2 linked regions of the Coturnix japonica genome follow. The protein of the gene in region 1 purifies or fractionates together with the protein of each later gene. This does not show direct contact. Links are inferred from orthologs where the notes say so. Each region holds a gene or a part of one and is shown on either strand. Other genes may lie near its edges. The genes, in order: ABCC1 and VDAC3.

The links.
Region 2: the proteins of ABCC1 (region 1) and VDAC3 fractionate together in Homo sapiens (co-fractionation; 3 studies listed by BioGRID). This does not show direct contact. The link is inferred for Coturnix japonica from reciprocal best matches to the Homo sapiens genes ABCC1 and VDAC3.

What each region holds. Positions count from the first base shown.
Region 1 is NC_029529.1:7,455,102-7,466,762, reverse strand, and holds the start of ABCC1 (multidrug resistance-associated protein 1), read right to left. Parts: upstream 5,196-11,661; 5' UTR 4,757-5,195; coding exon 4,709-4,756; intron 1-4,708. Other genes in the region: CEP20 (lisH domain-containing protein FOPNL), read left to right, coding at 6,506-6,533, 6,875-7,072, 7,492-7,576, 8,427-8,566, 10,180-10,256.
Region 2 is NC_029537.1:4,102,689-4,114,262, forward strand, and holds the start of VDAC3 (voltage-dependent anion-selective channel protein 3), read right to left. Parts: upstream 7,080-11,574; 5' UTR 7,058-7,079; coding exon 6,949-7,057; exon of another isoform or gene 6,884-6,948; intron 6,864-6,883; exon of another isoform or gene 6,745-6,863; intron 5,791-6,744; coding exon 5,719-5,790; intron 5,199-5,718; coding exon 5,149-5,198; intron 4,231-5,148; coding exon 4,228-4,230; intron 1,669-4,227; coding exon 1,516-1,668; intron 926-1,515; coding exon 873-925; intron 1-872. Other genes in the region: POLB (DNA polymerase beta), read right to left, coding at 8,236-8,330, 8,978-9,117, 9,612-9,676, 10,148-10,234, 10,928-10,998, 11,405-11,477, 11,565-11,574. UniProt on the Homo sapiens protein: Non-selective voltage-gated ion channel that mediates the transport of anions and cations through the mitochondrion outer membrane and plasma membrane.

The sequences.
Region 1 (11,661 bases):
CCTTCATTCGTTCATTCCCTCAGTTTCTTGTATCTACTAGAAAAGGTTTTAACATTAAGTTCTCAGCAGCAATGGCTTGCATCACATAGACCTGATTTACCAACGTAGTTCAAAAATAAGGCTTCCACCTTCCAGTCCTGGTGCCTGCGGCTCCTTCTTCAAATCTCAAAAAACAGCATTTCCTGTTGTTAACAATGAGATGAAATCCCTTGTAATATATAGCACAGCATCAGCTGAAACTATGCGTACAAAGGCAGAAAAACAGCACGGTTTGCCTTTGTTTCCCTTTAGGCTCAAAGAAGCAGCTGGTGCCAACAAGTTGCCAGAAAAGGGAACATTTGCACTTGTGGAATTTCCAAGCCAAAAAGCCTCTGGAACATGGCATTATTTCTGTGGGTTGGATAAACTTATCACAGATTTCATCAGAAGCAGCTGGCAGTTTAAAATACTTTTCTAGGTGCAATGATTCTTGTGTACCAGGAAACAGTATGCAACCGTGTGACAATAAATTATTGTCTACCAATGACAGCTTCAGAATCAAAAGGGCAGCATTTATCTATCTGTAAATTTTCGAAATGAAATCAATTTAATAGGATGCAGGAAAAGAAAGATAACCCTGTTAGCACCTCCTTGTTGTTGTTGTTTAATAAACTTTATCTGAAGCTCCCACCAGGCACAAACAGTGAGGGGGGGGGGGGAAAGGTAATGCATGGAATTCTAACTCTATTAAAAGTAAGGGAAAGGTCAGTCCCTGCCGACAGCTTTATAGAGAAGTGACCCACAATGACTCCAGTGCAACCCTGGTTAACCTCCTTCAGTCTGAGTATAGCACAGTGCTTCCCTGTAAACTGCACCGTGGCTGCTGGGAGCGGCACAACTTACCCCTGGGGTTTAAATCCTTTGAGCAACCTTGAGACAGTCACACTGAAATGACAGCCATAAAATGACAGACAATCTGTTATGGAAATTTCTATCTAAAACACAGCATCAGGTTCGTTTTCCTGTACCTCCCCTAAGCCGATCAACCCTGAATCAACAGAGGTAATAATAATTCCTGTGAGAGCAACCACCACCAAGACTCATTTTTCAGGCTTAAACGTGAGAGAGCCGACAAGTTGCATCTGGCTTTCATCAGTGGATGAAGCCACAACCGAGCAATGAGAGCCTGACAATTAGCTGCTAATTATAATAAAGGCACCATCTTGTGTAAAGGCTTTAACCTTCTGCTCCTCCTCTGTCGCAAATCCTGCCCACACGTGACCTTTTTAGGTCAGGAAATGCAGGTACTTTATGATCTGCGCACTCATTTCAATTCTTCACACGAAGGTTTTCAGTTGATCAAGTTGATTCCTTTATAATTTAAAGGGAAAACTTAAATTCACAACTTCGAACCAAGCTCACACCAGCACCACCCCCAGCTGCCTCCCTGCTCTGCCACAAACACTCTGAAGTACAATCCAACTACAACCAACTGCAGGCAGTAATTACTACAAGATACAACCTGTGCCTTCAAACAGCACTAAGGAAACCCGTGTAGAAATAATCAGTGTGAAGAAGGTTTGAAAACCAAGAAATCTTATTACTAACCTAAACTAGGTCCAAACTCTGCCTCCACTTAAGCACCAATCTCTTGTTTTCTGTAACTCAAGACTACACATCCCTGCAAGAACATCACTCTTTCTTCTCCCTGTTTTTCCAAATCATCAATTGTCTTTGTGAATAACTTAGACTTGTGTGTGTGATATGCATCTATCGCGCCGCTTTATGCTATTATATGTATTTAACTTCCTTATTCTTCTGTGCCTTTTGTTTACCACTAAGATATCAGCGACCTCCCACTCAGCTAAGCCTGGAAGAAGAAAACAAACACAAAAATTAAAAGCAAATGAAGCCTGTTAAGTATGAACCGCAGACACACACCTGCACCCAGGCTCCCCAAGCTATCTCTGCCGACCTGCCCAACTTTACGTGACAGCTTGAATGCAGCCATCTCACATTGATATCCACACCAGCACCCTCCCATGGCACACTCCTGCTGTTACTGTGAGCTATCGCTGCTTATAAAAATGTGTTACTGATACATTACAAAGTAACGATCTTATCTGCGCAGTTATTTCCTAGGTTATGTTACGCTTCAGGAAATGCACTGAAGGCATCTACAGTGCAAAAAGCTTTGGTACTCAAGAGATGTACTGATTTAGCACTTAGCTAATACATGACAGCATGAGCCACACAACTCAGATCATCAAACATCCCTTCCACAAAACGCTGTTCTTCCTTCAAAACTCGCTTTCAATAAAATTACCTGCAGGTAGAAGCAAAAACCCCAACATTTCAGATTCTACTTGACTGACAAACATCTTCTAATGAATAACAGTCTGCACATAAAGGCTGGCAGAGCAGCTGGAGAGGGACTGTACGGAACTGCTTGAGTTTGCTCTTCCGTATCTCACAGTTCTTTTTCACAGCACACACTGCATTCCCATTCCTGTGACATTCAAGGCACAGCGATCTCAGCACTCCAGACCACAGCCTACTTTTCCTATTAAACAGACAATACATTGAAATGCAGGTTCCTCTGAATGTTTCCCCCAACCCACAAGTTTTCACTTAAAAATAAAAGCAAAATCTCTTAGTGTTATCAGTATCTTACACAGCTACAACCTGATGTTATGGATGAAACAATCAGTGAGATACTCTATGATGACACAAGGATGAGAAAGCACCCTTCCAAGAAGGAACTGTGATTCAAAGAATGACAAGAAACAGTGAAGTTCCACATACAAGTTGTGCTTGTTCCACTGATTGGGCTGGAAGTTCTCACGCTGGGCACTAGAGGTTCAACAGGGAGAGGAAGCAAAGCACTGAAGAAGATGCAAACGGGGCCGCTTTGTTTTCACAGCGGGTATTAAATAAAATCCATCTGTTTAATTCTCAAACAAGGATTTTCAACAATAACATTCCTTGAGTGTACAAACAAGAAAAATCCCGGGCAGCAAGGTTTAAGAAGATTAGCACACAGTTTCTAAAGGTGCATTGGGTCCTTCCAGCCTATGAAGCTTCCTCTGCAATTTCAAACTGAGTTGTCCCAAGTTCAACACCAGGCATGAAAGGAAGCACATCTCCTCACTGATAGCAGCGGGGTTTGCCAGCACCAGGACATCTGATGTGACCACAGCTGACCACAAGAATGCAAAGACACCAGTCACCCGTATCCTAAGTGCAAAGCAGTGCTGGGAACAGGAAGCACACACTCCACAAGACAGGACAGTCCATAGCACGCACACAAGTGGTATCTGGAAGGCCAATAAACACAGCTTACACGCAGGCATTTTGTGGAAAGCCATTACAATTTTGGCTTCAAATAACTGTTGCTGCTATAGAAATACCATAAAATACACCCCGAGTATCCAAAGCCGCCAATAGCAGCATTTCTACCTTTCCCAACACAGCAAACAACAGAACAAGGCGGATAGACAGGACAAGTTCTATAAAGGAGAATACTTTGCCAGACACATCTTGCATCAGTGAGAACTCATAATTGTTCTGAAGGATTAGAAGAATCCAGAGACCAAGCAGCCACACCCAGAGGAACTTTTACTCATGAAATGAAAGGCCAGCGCCACGTGGCTCGGAGCAGGATGACAAATCACCAAACTGCCTGCATTTTGGGAACCAGGGCAGAGAGTGAAAAAAAACAGATTTACAACGTGCCAAGAACTTCATAAATAACCACATTACACACCAAAAAGCCTGTTTACGTAAGAGACGCTGTCATCAGAAAGCCACGCAAATGAGCTGTTGCAAGCATGGCAGCCCAGTTCCTGCAGCCACCTGATGGTTCAGCTCCACAGTTATTCATAAATCTCAAATAAGTTCTTCCATAAATCGAAGTCTGAAACACGCGGCATCTAAAATCTTTCCTGTACAAAGGCCTGGATCTCAGGAAAACAGACACCAGAACCAGAACAGCTGATGGGAGCTCAAGGGTCAGTTTTGAGAAACCTGAAAAATCAACTGGAAAAAGATATTAATATCAGCAATATAAGAATGGGTTGTTTTCGATCCGCTGGTAAAAGGCAAACACCTCCAAGTGCTAATGGCTTTTATAGTGTTTGCTAAGTAATATTTTAACGGTTCTTGAGATAAGTGGCACAACGGTATCTGATGACATGATCTCATCTCTCCTGAGCTGGTGAATGCAGCTCATTAGCTCACAACTATCTGCAAACATCCGACCAACAGCCGCAAGTTCTTTTAACAGCCCGACAACAGCCACGTGTTTTCTTCGCATCCCGGCATCACCTCAAACAACGACCCAAAACCTCCCCCATCCTCCAGCTCCGCCCCGCACAAGGCTTTCCCCCCCCCCGCTGCCCCGGCACTCGGGAGCCTCCTCGGACCACAAGGCTGCACATCCCTCAGTCGCACTCAGCGCTGATCATTACAGACGACCCAAAACAGTGCTACACAAACGTGACACAACCGCTGCCCTGCAGCAAGAGCGTCCTCGGCCTCCCCCCAGGGCAGCACGCCGCCGTTCCGTGCCGCCAGCAGCCGCCCGCTGTTATTGTTGCTCCACGCACAAGGAGCTCGGCTCATCTCGCTTCCCGTCCTCAGGCCGCAGCTCGCTCCTCGGTTCCCCCCGCACGAACCGCCCACCGGAGACCACCCTCATGCTCCGCGGCTCCATCCCGCCCTCACTCACCCAGAAGGGCTCGGAGCCGTCCGCACCGCACAGGCTTTCGATCCCCATGTGGCGTCGAGCCGACCCGCCGCGGCAGCGCTGCGCTTCCCACTCCGCACCTCTATACCGTGCCCGGGCGGCGGCGGCCGACGGCGCCGGCGCAGGGCCCTGATTGGCTCCGCGGTCACGGGGATGCGGGCCCCGACGGCGCCGCGCGGCCACGCCTCGGTGTAGGCGGGGGCAGGCGGTGTGTATTGCCGGGCCGTGTGTGCCACGCGGGGCCGCTCCGGGGCTGGGGGGGGTCAGAGTAGGAACGGGCTCGGCTCCCGCTCGGCGATACCGGCACAGCTTCGGCTCCTGCCGCTCACCTGCGGGTCGCAACTGCCGCCCCGGCTCCCGCGGCACCGAACACGCGCTGCCCGCGGGGTCCAACCGCCCCGGGATCCGCGCTGCCCCTCGGGAGCCCCGGCACCGACCGGGGAAAAGCCGCAGCAAAACCTCGTCTCGTTTTCAAGCGTTTGACTTCCCAACGTGAACCAGTTCGACTGGTTTCAAAACCCTGAGCCACTTCTAATTGTTGCTAGCGGGAACTGAAACTGAACCAAAACAGCTTCACCAAAACGGCTCCACCCGCAGTTCGCACTAAAATACGCTACTAGTGAAGCCACCCGCCGCCCCGCGGTGCAAATCGATGGTCTCTCGCTCCGCATTTCAGTGCATCAGTTCAACCTGCAGAGCAGCCATCGAAGTTAGAGACAGAACGCCGCTTTACAATGTTCTTTTACACCCTAAGCTGCACCTTGTTAAAATATCCACAGCGCTGCCTTCATGTTGATTCCTCAGATTTATTTTTATTAAGGGTTTCTGCCCTGTTTTGTACACTACATTCATCTTAAAGCCCTGCTGGGTGCACGGGTGGGTTTTGGTGCCTTGATGCTCACTACAGCACCTGTGGAAATAGCTGACATATCTCCTGCTGCCCCGAGCCTGTCAGCGCTGCCTTTCCTCCAGTTTAATCTGCAGTGCTTATAAAGTTAATAGCTCTCACAATCAATAAAAGTCACCAGTTCCACTTGATAAGATGGAAGAATTTTTTTGTAGTACTTGATAAGAGAAGCCAGGAGAAATACTGCCAAATAGATAACACAATCTGTAAGATTTCTACTCATCCTCTGTGCACGACAACACAAGTTATTTCTCTTCCAGTTGGTTCCACCTCTATTAGAAACTCCAACAAAAATCAACAGCAAAGATTTGAACTGATTTGGGAAATGGTTCATCATCCACAGAGCCAACAGTCAGCTCCTCAGAGCACGGCGAGGCACCAAACCTGCCCCGGAGCCACCACAGCCCCACACAGCCCCGGCAGTGTTACAGGCGGGTCCTTCTAAACAGAATCTCGTTTTTGGTCTGTGGAACGTTCATTTTTGAGAGACCTCGAGCAAAACTCTCTATGGATGGACTCTCTTAGCACACTAATAAATACTCTTTGAAATTAGAGGGGAGAGCACTACAGCAATACCAGAGCGCCCTTCCTCAGCCTCCGCTCGCTGAGCAGTCAGCAGGCGCACACAGGACACCAATGTGAGAGTAATTCCGCACACACATGTGCTGCCTGCTATTACCCTGCTCGCTATTTACCCCTGCCTGCCCTTCCCAGCGGACATCCCGGCAGCACAAGGGACCACAAGCGCTAGGAGCGGCTCCCGTCACACCGGCCCGCCCTCAGCCCGCCCAGTCAGCGCCTCAGAGCCTGCGCGGTGCCCGCCCGCTGGGGGCCGTTGGCCGCATCCGGGTCAGGGCGGTGGTTGTTGTGAGATGGCGACGATCGCGGAGCTGAAAGCAGGTGGATGGAGCGCTGAGGGGCTGCGGGAGGGACGGCAGGGCAGACAAGGGTCGCTCCGAGCCTTAACGGGGCTGCAGGCTGCTGGCTGCTCGCCTTGGGGAGTGGCGGAGCCGTTTGTTGCTCATTGAAAAGCATTTGAAGCATCCCCCATGTTTCTTCAACGCCCACACCTGTAGGCAATACCGATCTGTATCTAACAGTGTTGTCACACAGCGATCCGTACACGGGTGTGGTTTTCTTAATTTCATCACGAGTATCCGGGAATGGTGTTTGTATTGCAGGGGGGTGAATGCTGCTCCAGCGCTTTTGGGTTTATATTAACTGAGTTTTTATGGTGACAGTTTTAAAGGACACGCTGGAAAAAAGAGGAGCCCTGGGGCAGATAAGAGCCAGGATCAGAGCTGAGGTGTTCAACGCGTTGGATGACCAAAGCGAACCGCGGCCACCGCTGTCTGATGAGAACCTGCTGATCAATGAGCTGATCCGGGAATACCTGGAGTTCAACAAGTACAAATACGCGGCGTCTGTGCTCACTGCAGGTACTGGGCTGTGCGTGGTGTCATCGCTGCTGTCATTACTATCCACCGCCTGGCTGGGTAACTGAAGCCATGCAATCAGGTGGGAACAGGCTGTGTGATCTTGGCTAACCCTGGAAACAAACAGGATACAAACAACCTTTGCTGTGTTATTTGCAGCGTAACACCAAATTATACCATTAGTTTTTAAGAAAATGTGTTCTCAGTTGCTTATCCTTGAGGTAAATAGAGTTTACATTGACGGATCAGATGATGGAAGAGCAAAACAGTTTGCCAGCAGCCTACAAAGCCAAAACACCTTGCATGACTTGAGAGCTACAGCATTTAACTGGTAGCTCTAATTTATATCTAAAGTTGTTAAGGTCTGTAATTGTCCTTAGATGTGGTAGGTAATGACATTTGCTGTATGATCTGTTTTCCAGAAGCTGGCCAGCCTGAAGTGCCCTTGGATAGACAGTTTCTGGTCAAGGAGCTGAACATCGTTGAAGATGCGAATGGGAAATCAGTGTAAGGATTGATTTGGGAACACACGATGTACCCTGCACGTGTGTCTCCACAGTGATTGTATAAATCACATAGAAATGTTCAGTCACCAGCTCAGTATGACTGGATCACACAGCTGCTCTAACCATGCTGTGTTCAAGCGCACAGTGTCAAGCATGGGGCTGTTTTCAAACATCCTCAAAAGTAGCATTAAGTTCTGTGAACGCTATAGAATATGCTCACTAGCTGTTGTAATTGTGTGGCTGAGCCTCATACCACCTCAGTCTTTTCAGTCAGAAGAAAACCTGTTCTTTACACATTATTGATTTGATACGCAAAGCTGTAAAAAGATTATTGCGCTGTGAGATAAGATATAAATTCACAGTGTTCTGATGCAACTGGGTTTGTTAGGGTACAGAAGCAGGTTTAGACATGTTTGGTGATGCCCTATATCTTGGGCCCACACAATCTGTCTCATGCTTAGTAATAAATGTATTTTGGGATACGTGGTGGTGCTCAAGCCAATAGCCCACTGATCACATGTTTAATTTGCATGACAACATGGCTCCGTACCTGTTCTTGGTATGCCCTGATTCTTTGCTTGCAAGTGATCTGGAGTTCAGCTGAGAACGTCCCTTAGTGCAAGCTATGGGGAGGGGGTGGTCTTGAGGGGTGGCTTGTGCCTGTGCTTATTTATATAATTGCATTTAGCATAATGAATTTTAAATAGCTACTCTGAAGATATCTGAATGTTCTTTAGAAGTGAACATTAGGATGTAAGAACTTCTGAGGAGAAGCTGTTCGGTTATTTTTTTCAAATGCTCAGTAGTTAATATATCTCATAGACGGCTTTTGTGATTTTTGCCTTGAGCAGACCCCTCTTATATGGAATTATATCGCATTTCTTACATCGTGGTAATGAAGAAAGTACCCAGAGTACTCATCCAAAGGTGTCGTTGCTGAGTTATCCAAGGCAGAACTTTGCCAAACCATCTACTGAGAGGAATCAGAAAGGTGGGTGTGAGTATAGGGTCATCTTCACAGGAGCTTTATTTGTGACTTCATTTTCTATGAGCTGGGTTTGCTGATAACTGTGTAAACACGTGAGTGCGCACAGGGTACTTCCTTCTCTGTGCAAGGAAACCTTTTCTATAGAGAAATTTCTGCAGTAGGACATTGTTTATACATCAGAATACCATTAAACCATGTAGGACATTGTTTATATGTCAGAATACCATTAAACCATGTGACCTGACCATCCCTCTTGCTCATATATTCATTTAAGAATAGCCCTACAAAATCTAACTTCTGATTTCTAAAACTACCTCTATGTTCCTTTACTTAAATAAGTGTCCAACTGACACAGCTTCTTAGGTCTGCTTCTCTTCTGTTGGTATGTTAATGTACTGCATACAAATCTGGTTGCCCAGCGGAAAGATGATGGATATTTTACTGGAATGGATATTTTATTTAGAAAGCAGGCAGTTTTGAAAAGCAGGGATAGCAAAATGTGTAGAATTTTTTTGCAGTGTAAAAGTTACTGTGAAGCTCTTGTTACCATGCGGTAGCTGTAGCTATCTGTTATACTAAAGGGAAGCAAAAAAAAACCCAAATTGTTTAGCTTTATTCTTTCAATTCTTTTGGACTGTGAAAAGCTGAAAACTCATCTAAATGTGGACCCAACAAATTGTTTTCCCATCATAGCACTGCCACCTGTTCCTATTGTATCCAGAAATTTGAATAAATCTGAGGTCTAAGACGTTATTACAGTTTCTAAGAAGTATAAGGAAGTACAGAGTAAGCACCTTTTCTTAGTATTTGATGAAGACGATGTCGTTGCTCTTCTGCCAGTAGAGGGGGCTGAAGACATAAAATGTGGTACCAAAGCTGCTATAACTTATCTTTTTTGTTAGAAGGTTCTTATCAGAAATTCATATCTTTTAAAAATGTCATTATTAAACAAGTGCTTGTTTTTGTTTTTTTAAATATGTGAATAATTGTCCCAGTTCTGAAACTGAGTCTGCACAGTCACCTTGCCCTGCTAATCCCAATGTAATATATCACATAGGGATTTATTTGCTTAGAGTTAGTTACAAGCCTCAGGATTCATTGTAAGACATGACAACATGTTACTCTTTGAACTAAACAAAAATATGAAAGCAGAGTTGGAAGTTGTTCCTTTCTGTATGAGTTTATGGAATATACCCATGGAGACCTACAGGCAGTGGTTTTAAAATACAACCTGGCTATTTTGATTAGGGTATGCACTATCAAATCAAGTCCATTCATATGTTCAACATTCAGTCTCATATTTAACTTCTATCTTGCTTTCACTATTAGAAATTGCCTTTCTTGCTTATGTTGTTGAGTGAATATTCAAATAAGCTGGTACAGGGAACGGGGATCTCAATAGAAGTTGCAGTCAGATGTTCCTGTTAACTGACTTTGTAGAGGTGGGTTGAAGCAATCTGAGATCCTATCTTTGGTAATGTGGTTGGCTGAAAGAACATGTTTGTAAAATTGTCTGAGTTTGCTATGATGGTGTTCCATATCAAAGCTCTTAATAACGGTTGCATCTTTGGCTTTCCAAGTGTGTGAAAACATTTATGTCTATGTTTCATTTTTAGATAGAATTCCAGAACCAGGAAGGATGGCTGGCACAAGCATTGAAGAGCCTCTTGTTCTACAGAGTATAAAGAGATGACATGATGGTGTCTTTTATATGTTCACTTATCCTGTAAAGCTCTTGGAGAGTAATTTATGTAATTCTTCGTTATGTAAATTTCTCCACTGTGTCCAGTGGGATCATTTCTGTTTGTTGGAGCTCCCCATGAGACAGGAAGACTGAGTCATTATTCCTGCCAGTGACAAACTGTTAGCAAACAGGCGTTCTTCCTCCAGAAGATAGAAGGAAAACTGTACATAAAATCAGATTAGTCAAGCCTGCGTCTAGAATTAGGTCCCAAAAATATTTCTTTTATATTTTAAAATAAAAGTTTACTAGATATTTATAATTTCTGCTCTTGTCTTTTTATGTCTTCGTGTGCCTTTTCTGGTGTCTGAATATTTTTTTGTCAGTTTTATTGTGTTGGGTATTTGAAATAATTTTGGAATGATTTTCCTTTAAGAACAAGCACCTGCTGCTCCTAGATAAGTATGGGAAAATCAATTTGAAAAGAAAATTGCAGTTGTTTTTAATTCTCTGGAAACAAGGACTATATTTATCTCTATGCCAGCAAACAAACGAGGGTAAGTCTTTTCCATCTGGAGTTGCTATAAATTGTACAGTGTAATGCTGAGGATATGGGACAGGGGAGGAACTTCTGTTTTTTTCCCAAATGACATGAAACTAAAGGCTATTTTTTTCTTTTTAACAAATTCATGCATGTTAATGTTTGCAGTGGTACTGAGAGTTGTTTTGTGTAACTGTTAAATAAATGTCACAGTAAATGTTTGGTGTTACCACCACCAGCACATTCAACTGCTTAGATGAAGAGCCATCTATATAAAACCTACCTGTCATGGGAAGCTGCCTTGTTACCGGGGTTCTTTCCTGCCATGACAGTGCAAATCACTGTTCTCTCTCTCCATTTCTCTGCCTAATAGTACAGCAGAGAAACAGTCCTTGAGTTATTTACAGATGACTTTCATTTTTGAATAAGCTGGAAGTGCCTCTGAAAATTTGCAGAAATGAACTTCTAAAGATCATGGATATGAGTGCTCAAAATACAGAAAGTCCTGAATTTTGAACTTTGGTTTTCCAGAGGCTAAGTGTTTGTCCAGAACCTATTTTTATTTTTCTCATAACCCAGTGGGTCGAACTATTATGTGTATTTAGAATCTGAATTGTCTTTTCAAGGGCAAGGAAAAGGCTCTGCTGGAAAACAGAAGCCACAACCTTCTATGCTATGCAAATCTTCCAGGGTAACCAAAGCCATCGTGTCTGCTTTCTATCTTCCCGTCATAGATCATACAGAAGCTGCTCAGGTGCCATGGAGCTGCCTGGAATTTTAGCTGCTGAAATTAAATACAATTTTTGTTCTTGTGAAAAAAGATAAGGGGAAGTTTGGTCCTTGGCCTTCCCCAGTAACACAGCTCAGCATACTTTT
Region 2 (11,574 bases), on another chromosome or scaffold:
TATTTGGTCAGCCTTCTCGTGTCTTTCTCTCAATGTGTCCTTCTGCTCATCTTGCTATCACTTCATAGTTAACAAAACTGAAAAAAATAATATATCACCTCCCCCATCCTCTCCCCAGCCTTGTTTATGTTTCTCACTGAAGACACAGCAGGATGCTGTGCTGCCCATTAGTCAAACCTAGACCCAGGGGCTCATTTTTTAACTCCTTTTCTATTTCCTTATATTCAGTTAATACTTTCAACACCAACTGCTTTGTTATGCTGACTCCAACAACAGACAAATACCAGTTAATTATTTACGAAGCAGTCTCAGGCTTCATCTACAGACATATACACCTGTATATGCACCTCTCCTCTGCTCTACTGTTAACCAAAAGAAATCAATAATAATAGAAGACAAAAATATGTTATTGCACTGCTCATCATAATATGTCATTCTCCTTCCTCATTCAGTTGTGCAGAGCCATACGCCCACAAGCTTTAGGAAAAACAGTACTTTGTCCCGTGTTCCTAAGGCACCGAGTGGACAGCAGATGGACCACAAACACCATCACAAAGACAGTGCAAGTTAGTGAATGTAAAACAGAACTGTTTGAGAGGACAGTTAGAGAAATGGAATAACTACACCACAATGAAAAATCTGCAGTGGCCAAAAAGATGAAAAATCAATTTTAGCACATTCTTCAGAGCCCACTGCCTTCAAAGTGCTCTGCAATGCCTGTAGAACAGGAATTTCCTGCTGCAGTATTTGAATATGACCATTCAGTGACAGTGCATGTTGAGCATTTACGCAAAGAATCATACAAGGACTTCTAATCAAAAGGTAGAGACAATTCTAGGGCTTCCCGGGTTAAAGTAATAGAAAATATTTACCCTGTGTTTGGTACAAATATAGTGTCAAAAGCAACCTTCAATCCTTCAGCCAACTGTTAAGAAAAACAGAGAAGTCTTTTACAGCTCTGTCAAAACGTGGTTTTGATACTATGGCACTACTTCAGGTCTTAGGAGATGACACAACATGAAGGGCAAATCTCACACGTTTTTACAATGACATCTGTAGATGCTGTATGCTAAGAGCTGTCTAACCTCATTCTGAGCTGATCAGCATTTTCCATTTTAATGTACCGGTTAAAGTACAAAGTCATAACTACAAAGGGAGATGGACATACACAGTGGAGGGCACCACAGAGCTTCTATTACCTTTGGCGCTGCTACTTAATGCTGCCGCACTCTGTAAGAAGCATAAAGCTGCTAACTTAGGAAAGGAGTTACTTATTTTAAGAGTGGTACTTAGAAACCATTTGCTTAAGCAACCCCAAGCTGTAAACGCTCATCTTGCTCTTCAACCTCACAAAACATGTTCAGTCTGAAGGCAAACTTACAGCTTTCTGCATTAAAACATTAAAATTTAGCATAAGTACTTCAGGTAGTTTTGCTTCAGTGCCTTCTGTTCCACTCAATACTACTTTCTCATACCAACTGCAGAAACATTTTCAGAGTATTGACTTCCTCTTACCTGATCCTCTATGGAAACTTCTGTTCCCAAAGTGTTGTCTGTGTTCCACTTCTGAATGAACGTGAGTCCATAGTCTTTGATCTTATACTTGGTTTCTAGATTACCCAAAGCCTTGCCTGTGTCTGTACTGGAAGAACCACCTGCAGTAAATTCCTGCCAAGAGGACAACATGAGTTTAATCACTCTGGATACTTTGTCTGCTTGTCAAATGCAAGCACGCAAACACTCACTAACTTCAGGCCTTTCAACAGAACACTCCTCCCTATCCACAAGTAAAATAGTCATTTTTGCATCTCAAAACGCACACTCCTTTTAGCATCTCTGTTCTGAATATGTCCTTTACTAAGATGTGCTGATATAGCCCTGGAGCTTTCTTAGGCCCCAGTACACAAAGCCATGGCACCTCATTCCCCTGTACCCCTCCTTGATCTTTTGTCACGTTTTTTTCCTAAATTATTCACCAACATTCCCCCTAAGCTCCCCACCAAAAAGCAGAAAACCTTTGCTATCTTTTACTGTTCCAAAGCTGGAATTGTTATTCCAACATTCTTCAACTTGTTCTATATTTCACATAGATTCACTGCCCCATAGCCACGTACAAGAAGATATTCATCTGAAATACAAAGCTGCTTGGATCCTTTGATTTTTCTTCATCAAATTCTCCACGCTGTTTTCAAACACCCCGTCCTATGCTATTTGAGCAGCTCCTACACATCAGAGCTTCTTGTTAAGGGCCACAAAATCTCAATAAATACATTTCTTCTGAAAATAACTTTAAGATGGCCTACTTAGTGTTTAATGTACAGAGCATAAAGCAAAGAGCAGGAAGTCCAAGGCAGTAAGCCAGCACACAGCCATATGAGCATACATTCCTAGCACACCATGAAGAAAAGATGACATATACTCACAGAATCACAGAATGACCCGGGTTGGAAGGGACCTCAAGGATCATGTAGTTCCAACCCCCCTGCCTAGCAGGGCCACCAAACATACACCTTTACTAGACCAGGTTGCCCAGGGCCCTGTCCAACCTGGTCTTGAACACCTCCAAGGACGGGGCATCCACAACCTCCCTGGGCAGCCTGTTCCAGGGCCTAACCACTCTCCTAGTGAAGAACTTCCCCCTAACATCCAACCTAAATCCTCCCTCTTTTAACTTAAAACCATTTCCCCATGTCCTGCTATTGTCAGCCCTTTCCAAGAGTTTACTCCCCTCCCGGGAGTAAGTTCCCTTCAGGTATTGAAAGGCTGCAATGAGGTCACCCCGCAACCTTCTCTTCTCCAGGCTGAACAAACCCAACTCCCTCAGCCTGTCCTCATAGGGGAGGTGCTCCAGCCCCCTGATCATCTTCCTGTCCCTCCTCTGGACCCTTTCCAAAATCTCCATGTCTTTCTTGTACTGAGGGCTCCACACCTGGACACGGTACAACAGATGGGGCCTCACAAGAGCCGAGTAGAGAGGGACGATCACCTCCCTATCCCTGCTGATCATATCTCTCCTGATGGAGCCCAGGATCCCATTTGCTTTCCGAGCTGCCAGAGCGCACTGCTGGCTCATGTTGAGTCTCTCGTCCATCAGGACCCCCAGGTCCTCCTCTGCCGAGCTCCTCTCAAGGACCGCTCCTCCCAGCCTGTACAGGTGCCTGGGGTTCTTCCAGCCCAAGTGCAAAACCTTGCACTTTGCCGTGTTGAACCTCATTAGGTTCACCTGAGCCGCACTACTACAATAGCACAGAAATTTTATGGTGTATCTGGCCACCTTGTGAAAACACAGAACGTAAGTCGGGATGCACAACTATCCTTCAAGATCAATTCACTACAAACCATTCTAACATCACTTCCACAAACTCAGTGTAAAGACACTGAATCTGCATCAGTTTGATTCTCAGATCAAGCAAAAGGAAGGTTGTGAAAGTTTTTTGTTTTTTTTTTTAACATATAAAGGACAACCATCTCCCACAACCGAATCTGTTTCTGAAAGCAGAAAGCACACAGTTAACATCTACTGCCATCAACCCAACTTTCTGAACCAGTCTTCTCATCAGGCCATTTCACGCAGCAGCATTACTTGGATTATCTGTAGCTGAAAACCAAACTCATTCTGGCTTTGTATCCCATTCCAGCCTGACTCAGCAGTCAAGCTCAGCTTCTCATTGACCTTTCAGTTCACAATGGCTGTTTCCTCAAGAACATGATGTACTTACCACATTTCACAGATTACAAACAGCTGTAACCTGTGAAACAGTTACAACCAACAGAAAACAACAATGGCACTGTCCACACCCACATGAAAGAAGAAAAACAACAAAACATTTATGTATTGAAATGGAGATAATGTTAATTCCCAAGTATGAATTCAATTCCATGCTTTGTACCCAACCTCTTTTCAATCCTCAAAGCCCCATATGGCAGCGGAATGCTCATTAGTAACACCACTGAGCATAAAACCTTTAGCAGCAAACATACCATTAGCATACCTATCTCGATTTCCTCCTGATGTTATTACAGTGCTCTTATCTCAGATCGCCAGAGATGACAAATGACTTCACATGCAGGCAACATACAGAAGATTAAGCGCTATGGACACAAGGCAAAGTTCATGGCACAGATTGCACTGCTCAAAACCACCAGGCAGATGAATGGTAAGCACCACAAAAATGTCAACGACAAAAGAATCAAAAGCCAACATGCCAAAATAGTCACTATTCTTACCAGCTGAAAAGGATCCAACACGAAATTTGCATGGAGAAGGAAAAACCCATTTTAAAAACTTATATCAGTTGGCATGTTCTGCCATGTACAGAGTGTAAGGAACTATTACTGATTTAGCTGAGAATCATAACTCTGTGGCAGGAAAACTACAAATATTCAGAGATGTCATAAACTAACAGCAGTTGTAGATCCTCGGCCTCATCTGCTGAGTGCACGATGCAAGTAATCTATCAAGAGCTCAGGTGAGACATCATGAAATAGTACCAAAGAAATGAAAGTGACTTGCACCATTTATGTGATAAGAATGCAAGAGAGGGAGGGAGGCTAAAGCAAATATGGTTAAAAGCACCTGAAAAGCAGCATAAACCTGTCAATTGGAGAGCAGCAATAAGAGCTGGCACTCAAAGTTGAGACTCACTATAAGAATTAGCTTAGCCAGTATAAAATATGTATGACTGTGGGTAAAGGCCAAAATTATGAAAGCAATTTCTTGTTTTGGCAGCTTTACTGTGAAATCACAGAACCACAGAATGACTTGGGCAGGAAGGGACCTTAAAGACCATCCATTTCCAAACCCCCTGCCTTGACGAGTGTTGCCACCCATGTCAGGCTGCTGGAGATATTCAAAACCTGCCTGGATGCTTCCAGCTGCAACCTCCTCTGCCAGCAGCCTCCTTTAGCAGGGGGTTGTTCTGAATGATCTCCTGACGTCCCTATAATTCTGCCATTCTGTAGCAATCTGTGTGCACCAAAGGGAAAGAAGTACCACTACATCAATTCCACATCCCACTGTAGAAACAAACTGGGGATAGTCATCCTCAAATAAGAAGCAGAAGATTGAATCAACATGTGCTGGCAGGTTACTGCCACCAGTTCAGGAGCTTGCCCTTGCTGGGGATGGTGAAAGCCCCCAGTACTTACCACCCCACTTGAAGACTTGGTCTTCAACTCCAACTTGACCATCCCAAATCCTGAAAACAGAACAGCATATACCATCTGTTTCACTGCAGTATACAAGCAAGACTTATTTGCTACACAACCAAAGTGCAACAAATGGAGAACACTGGCTAGAAACAGCCTATTTTCATATTTCAACAGATGTTGCTATTACTGATGAATGACCAAAGAAGCTACGACAATTCAGAGTGGCTGGGCTCATAATTTCTGGTTTTAACAGCCAGAATTTACCAATAAATGTCATAAGATATACCTGTTCTTCGTTTCTGGCCAGGCTTAACATCCATCATTTGGTATCTCTGCTATCTTGGGACCAATCAATACTGTTACCATTTCCTCTGAGTAACAAAATTCACTTTCAAACCTCTGGTTCCAAGGGAGGAATTCTCCTCTAAGAGGAAAATTCTCCCCATCCCTCTGTTGAATTCCCATCATAAGGAATCAAATGGAACTCTGATATAGGAATGACTTTGTTGTGGTTCTCAAGTTGCCTAAGACAAAAGAGAAACATGGAAGCTCAGTCATGTTACTTACCATAACCCTTATTGAATACATCCCTGGCAGCCTTTCCCAAGTCGCTGTATGATGGTGGGGCAGCCATTGGATCTGAAACAGAATGGAAGTGCCAAAAATCTTAAATTTAAACAGCACAAAATCTAACCTATGTCCAAAGCATTTATAGACCTCTATGAGCAGGTACCCTCTGTGTGCCTCACTGATAAGGAACCACAAGCTGGAATCATTTCTAAGCTGTGCATGTACATCCAACAGCACCTTCTAACACACGCTGCTGCTGTGACTTAAATGGACAACAAAACCCAAAGGGAGGCATGTAAAACTATGGCCTTTCTTAAAGGAATTTCACAGCAGAACGTCCAGCTTAGAAAACAAGACAAGACACAAAAAGAAGCGTGGAGACTCTTCTCCAGTAGGAAATTAAACTACTGACACAACTGTGGGCCTGGAGGATTTACAGCAAGCAGAGTGCCTGCAGCTCCCTCCTCTGATGTAATCACAGAATTATCCAGGTTGGAAAAGACCTAGAAGATCATCTAGCCCAATACTTCCCGGCTAAATCATATTCATCAACACAACATCCAGACGTTTCTTGAACACTCCCATGGTCGGTGACTCCACCACCTCCCTGGGCAGTGCATTCCAATGCCTGACTACTCTTTCCAAAAAGTAATACTTCCTAATGTTCAGCCTGAATCTCCCCTGGCGCAGCTTAAAACCATTCCCTCTAGTTCTATCATCGATTACACGAGAGAAGAGGCCGAGCCCCAGCTCACTACAACCCCCCTTCAGGAAGTTATAGAGAGCAATGAGGTCTCCCCTGAGCCTCCTCTTCTCCAGGCTGAACAATCCCAGCTCCCTCAGCCGCTCCTCATACGGCCTGTGCTCCAGACCCCTCACCAGCTTTGTTTCCCTCCTCTGAACACGTTCCAGGGCCTCAATGTCTTTCTTGCAGTGAGGGGCCCAAACCTGAACACAGCACTCGAGCTGCGGCCGCACCGATGCCGATTAATAAGCACTAAACGCGGCCGCTGCTCAAACCACCTTCCTGTCCAAACCGGAGGGATCAAAATGAGTCGCTAAACCGGTGAAAAACACCCGTTATGGGCAGAACGCAGCGCGAGGAGCGACGGGCCGCGCCCTCACGGCCTCCCGTCCCACCGACACCACAGCCAGCCCCTACCCAACCAAGGGACTATGGGCCGCAACGACCACAGCTCCAGCTCCGGACCGGCCCCGCAGCCCTACCGCGCCCTGCCGGCCGGACCGCGCTGCGAAACGCTCTGCGTGCGGAAGCCGAAGCGCTGCTGGGTGCGCATGCGCAGCGAGAGGGGGGCGCAGGCGCGGAGGTCGGCATGCGTAGAGCTCCGCATGCGCAGAGCGGTGACGCGCTCCGCACGCGTAGAGCCCCGGCTTTTCTACGCATGCGTAGAGCCGCTCCCGCAGCCGGTAAATCATATCATAGTATGTGCCCCGGTGGAGCAAGTGGTAGGAATGCCGCATTGCAACACCGGAGACCTGGGTTCGAATCCCCCCTGTGGCGCAAGTGGTAGAAGTGCCGCTCTGCTACACAGAGGCTCGAATCCCGGGGGTTGGACTCGGTGATCTCTAAGGTCCCTTCCAACCCGCACGAGACTATGAGACTATAGTAAATATAGTAAATGCGTTTCTACTACCAGGCTTCATACAAAAGAAAAGCAAGAGTACAGGTGTATAATCACGGTCAGCTACTAAAAGCCTTTGTTAGTTGGCTGCAGTCACAGCAGGTGGATGTGCTTTTAGAGTAACAGCCAAATCAGACCTTGCTTGGGCTTTACTGCTCCAGGTTTCTGGAACCTTCAGGTTTAAGAAGGAAACCACACCTTACAGCAAAACAGCATCTGCACCTTCATCAGGAAGGAGGGTTCCCACCTGTAGGAGTTTATCACAGAATTATCAAGGTTGGAAAAGACCTAGAAGATCATCCAGTCCAACCATCACCAATACTGCCCAGTTAAATCATACCCCTCAAATGCAAGAACGGACCCCTGAACAATAAGGAGCAGAAAAGGGAGAGATAGAAAAGTGAACTTCTTTCTTCAGGTAAATAGTTTATTTCATCTGAAGAGCCCCCCTCCACAAACATCTGTATCTACACAGGAGCCTGCAGAGCTCTACAATACTCAAGCTGAATGGAAAGAATGGACAGGGAACAAATGACATTATTTTAAAATATTAGGAATGTTAAGACAAAAAGCAGCAGTGTGACATATTTAAGGGGCAGGGGGTGGCTATAGCTTAAAACAGCAGGAAGTATTTCAGGCTACCAGGACAAGCACAGCTAAAAACAGACTATGAACACCCTTCAGGGAGTTGTTTCACACTGGGTTCTCATCCACTTTCTCTAAAGCACAGGAAGGATTTAAGCTTTACTACAAATACCCTCCTTTTAAAGATCAGTAATGCACATTTGTTGCAGAACATCCAAAGACCCTGCACGTTTTCAATATGCACGTTCACAAAACACCACGAAAGCTCAGTTACAAATACAGGCAGTTATTCGCTCCGATCCTTTGGCTCCCGGTATTTCCACTGGATGTAGTCAAAGATGTCTTCCTCACATTCTACTGGTAGGGGCTCCCCAGCAACTCCTGCAAGCACATTACAGATGCTATTGGAAAGGTGGAAATTCCATGTAATCCTGCACTGCCAAAAGCACTGCAAGATCAAGACAATCGATTTCACTGTAAGCAAAACATACTTGCAAGTGAACTGATGAGTACCCTCCCCCCAAAGAACACACAGGAGAAAAGCCCGACCCCCACAGAGAACCACCACCACCCATAGTTTTTCACACAATATTTAGGTAATCATTCTCAGTGTCACAAGAAAAATAATTAACTACGCGGCTATAATGCTTATACAATTAAAATAGACACACACAATGTGCAGTCAGCCCCCCCCCCCACCCTCCAATGGGAAACAATTGAAAGACATGAATCAAGTTAAAAGAATGAGAAAATGTGTGCTGTGCATTGCAGAGCAAATCCAAGCTGCAGTTCAGTTAAGACCAAGCAGATCATGCATCCCAATGTGTTCATTTTGTTCCACAATTCTGTCTGTACATTAGCAGCTTGTCTCCCTCTGCTAAAATGGTTTTACAGTTCCAGGAAGGACAGAGTGAATAATGTTGTTAACTGCAGTATTTGCCAAGATTTCCAATTGAGAAGATGACTAAAGGAGAGGATCACAGAAAACATGCAACTAGAAAGAACACTGTTTAAAAGCCCAGACTGACCAGTGACACCCAAGGGACGGATTGTGTACTCGTTGATTGTGAAGCCCATTTCCAGAGCGTGGGCTCTCATGTTCTTATTGAATAAATCACTGCCTGTGAAATACAGTACACCACAGTAATACTGATCTTTAGGGATAAGCCTGGAATAAAAATGGAAGAGAAGTATATATTTAGGACAAATATGAAGCTACACGCCATTTGGAATTCAGCCACTTTGGAAGGGAACAGATCTAGAACTGTGCTCAAACACACACATTCTGCAACTCTGACTATTTCATTTTTCCAGATGCCCTAACTCAAGAATGAAGAACATTACCAGAGAAAGGTATGACACATCTAACATGACTCGTAACCTATTGTTACGATGCTTTCATTGCTGCCAAGAATTCATGGCAAAACAGTATTGTCAAGTAGGTCACAATTCTGAAACTGGATACAGAGCTGTTATTTAAGTACAGCATTCCTGCTAATAACCTGCTCCAGACACGGGCACTTTGACAGTGGTTTCCATACAAGGTAATTGGAAATCTAGTAAATGCCTTCTTCTAAACAGGGAAACAGAGATTTGGATGCAGAACATTAAATGAATGTCTATTATACAGCAGACAGATAAATTTTTTATTGGAAAGTATACCGAATATCAATTCTCCTGTGTGGATAAGATGCTCCATCTTCTTTATTTGGCAGCTGGCAGACACCCTGGGAAGTAAAGAAAGTGCAAAATTTAAAATTAAGTGTAACAGGTCTGAGATAGGCTTACATTATAGAGCTTCACTGTTCTTGACTGCCCCAGTGCTGCACAAACTTTTAAAACACACATTTCCAAATGCACGCAGCTTGTATTTAATCATCAGTTAGCCTGGAGTAAAATTAAATTCTTATCTAGCCAATCAAATGTTTTGTTAGAACAGCTGGCCGTCACCAGTGCTGGGAGCTACAGCTGATAAGAGGACTGTAACTCAATACAGCACATAATTACTTCTTCAGTCATATAACAGCAAGGATGACAGGAATTATTTTCCATTTTAACAAAAGATTCACTGAGTCACAACTGCAACGAGTTTTTAAGAGGAAAAAAATACGAAGAATCCCACACCAGCAGCAGCCCAAACACTGTTGTATGCATTGTCAGGAGAGATAACGCCCACCACATCCCCTGAAAGGTCTTACCATGAATTTGGTGTCACCTTTAGACAGCACATCAGTGACAAAGTGGACTTTCTCCAATTGTTCTACAACTTTATGCAGAAGCTTTGACTGGGAACAGTAACAACACAGAAAAAATTACTTCACTTACAACAAGAATATCTTACTTGTTTAGCTGCAGGACATAACCATAGGACACCACATGAACTTATGTGAAATACCAACATGAAATTTGACCAAGAGGACGAGAATCAGAGCAACAGTGAAAAAGAACTAATAAAATTACAATGTTGAAAAGTTTCTAGTGAAATCCATGCCAGATTGTTTCCACTTAGAGTGACAAAAATTGCTTCTTGGTTTGAGTCTTCAATTTTGTTGCAATCAATCCATAGAAGCAACAGGGAAAAAGGGATTATCATTAGGCCTTCCTCAGAGGTAGCCACAAGAGACTATAAGGGCAGCAGGACATCTGCTTCACCTCCAAGAAAAGGAGGCTACCTAAGGAGATACTTTAACTGCTGCCTTATTCACATAGTTGTTACAATTCTACTTTGTATAGTACATTAATTCAGGAGGAATTGGGGAAGAAGACTGAGGATGAGAACAAACACACTATGCTGAGAACTCAACATAAAACTGCTTCTCAGAGCCATGCATTAATTACTCAAAATAAGAATGGTGATCCAACAGCTACAAAAAGATGCAGGAAGCTGAAATGCAAGTCTGACGCTGCATATCATCTGAATTTAAAATACTCTTTTGGAAATGCTGCTCAATACTAAACATGGTAGCAGAGAAACACACCTGTTTGGATGATTCAGATGTGAAAGTTGGATGGGTTAAGAGAACATCCATGTCTCCACTTGACTCTGCACCTGGGCAAGTAAGAAGCAAAGAAAATTCCTCCCAGATAAGATGAGAAGTATATATGAACACTGATAAAAATGCTCCTAACCTCTTCTGATAAACACATATTTCTTGTAGAGAACAACAGTCAGTGAATTTTCCAGATACATGTGAAAAACTGATCTGAAAGGAAGAAAACCTTTTCTGTTCCATTGAAGTTGCTATCACTACATTTCTCAGAGAACATCCAGCATGTGCTGCTATACTCTCTAGTAATGAAGCACAAACAAGGTGTCTGACTACTGCACTAACCCATTAAAGACAACAGTAACAGGAAAAGCTGGACTTCAGCATAAACTTACTCTCCAGAAAAGCATGTATTATCGTGATCTGCTGCTTTGCCCAAAATAAAACACAGAAGATCAGCGTACCAACCTCGTCTAAAACTGCCACAGACCGTAGCAATATAATCTGGGTCCAAGTTCTTTACCTCTTTCAGCACGATTTCCTACAGAATAAGGAAAGATGAATGTTTCAAGGTGCCAGTTGTTCATTGGCCTTCCATGCCTCAAGTCTTTGACAAAGACTTTCTGACCTGCATTTGC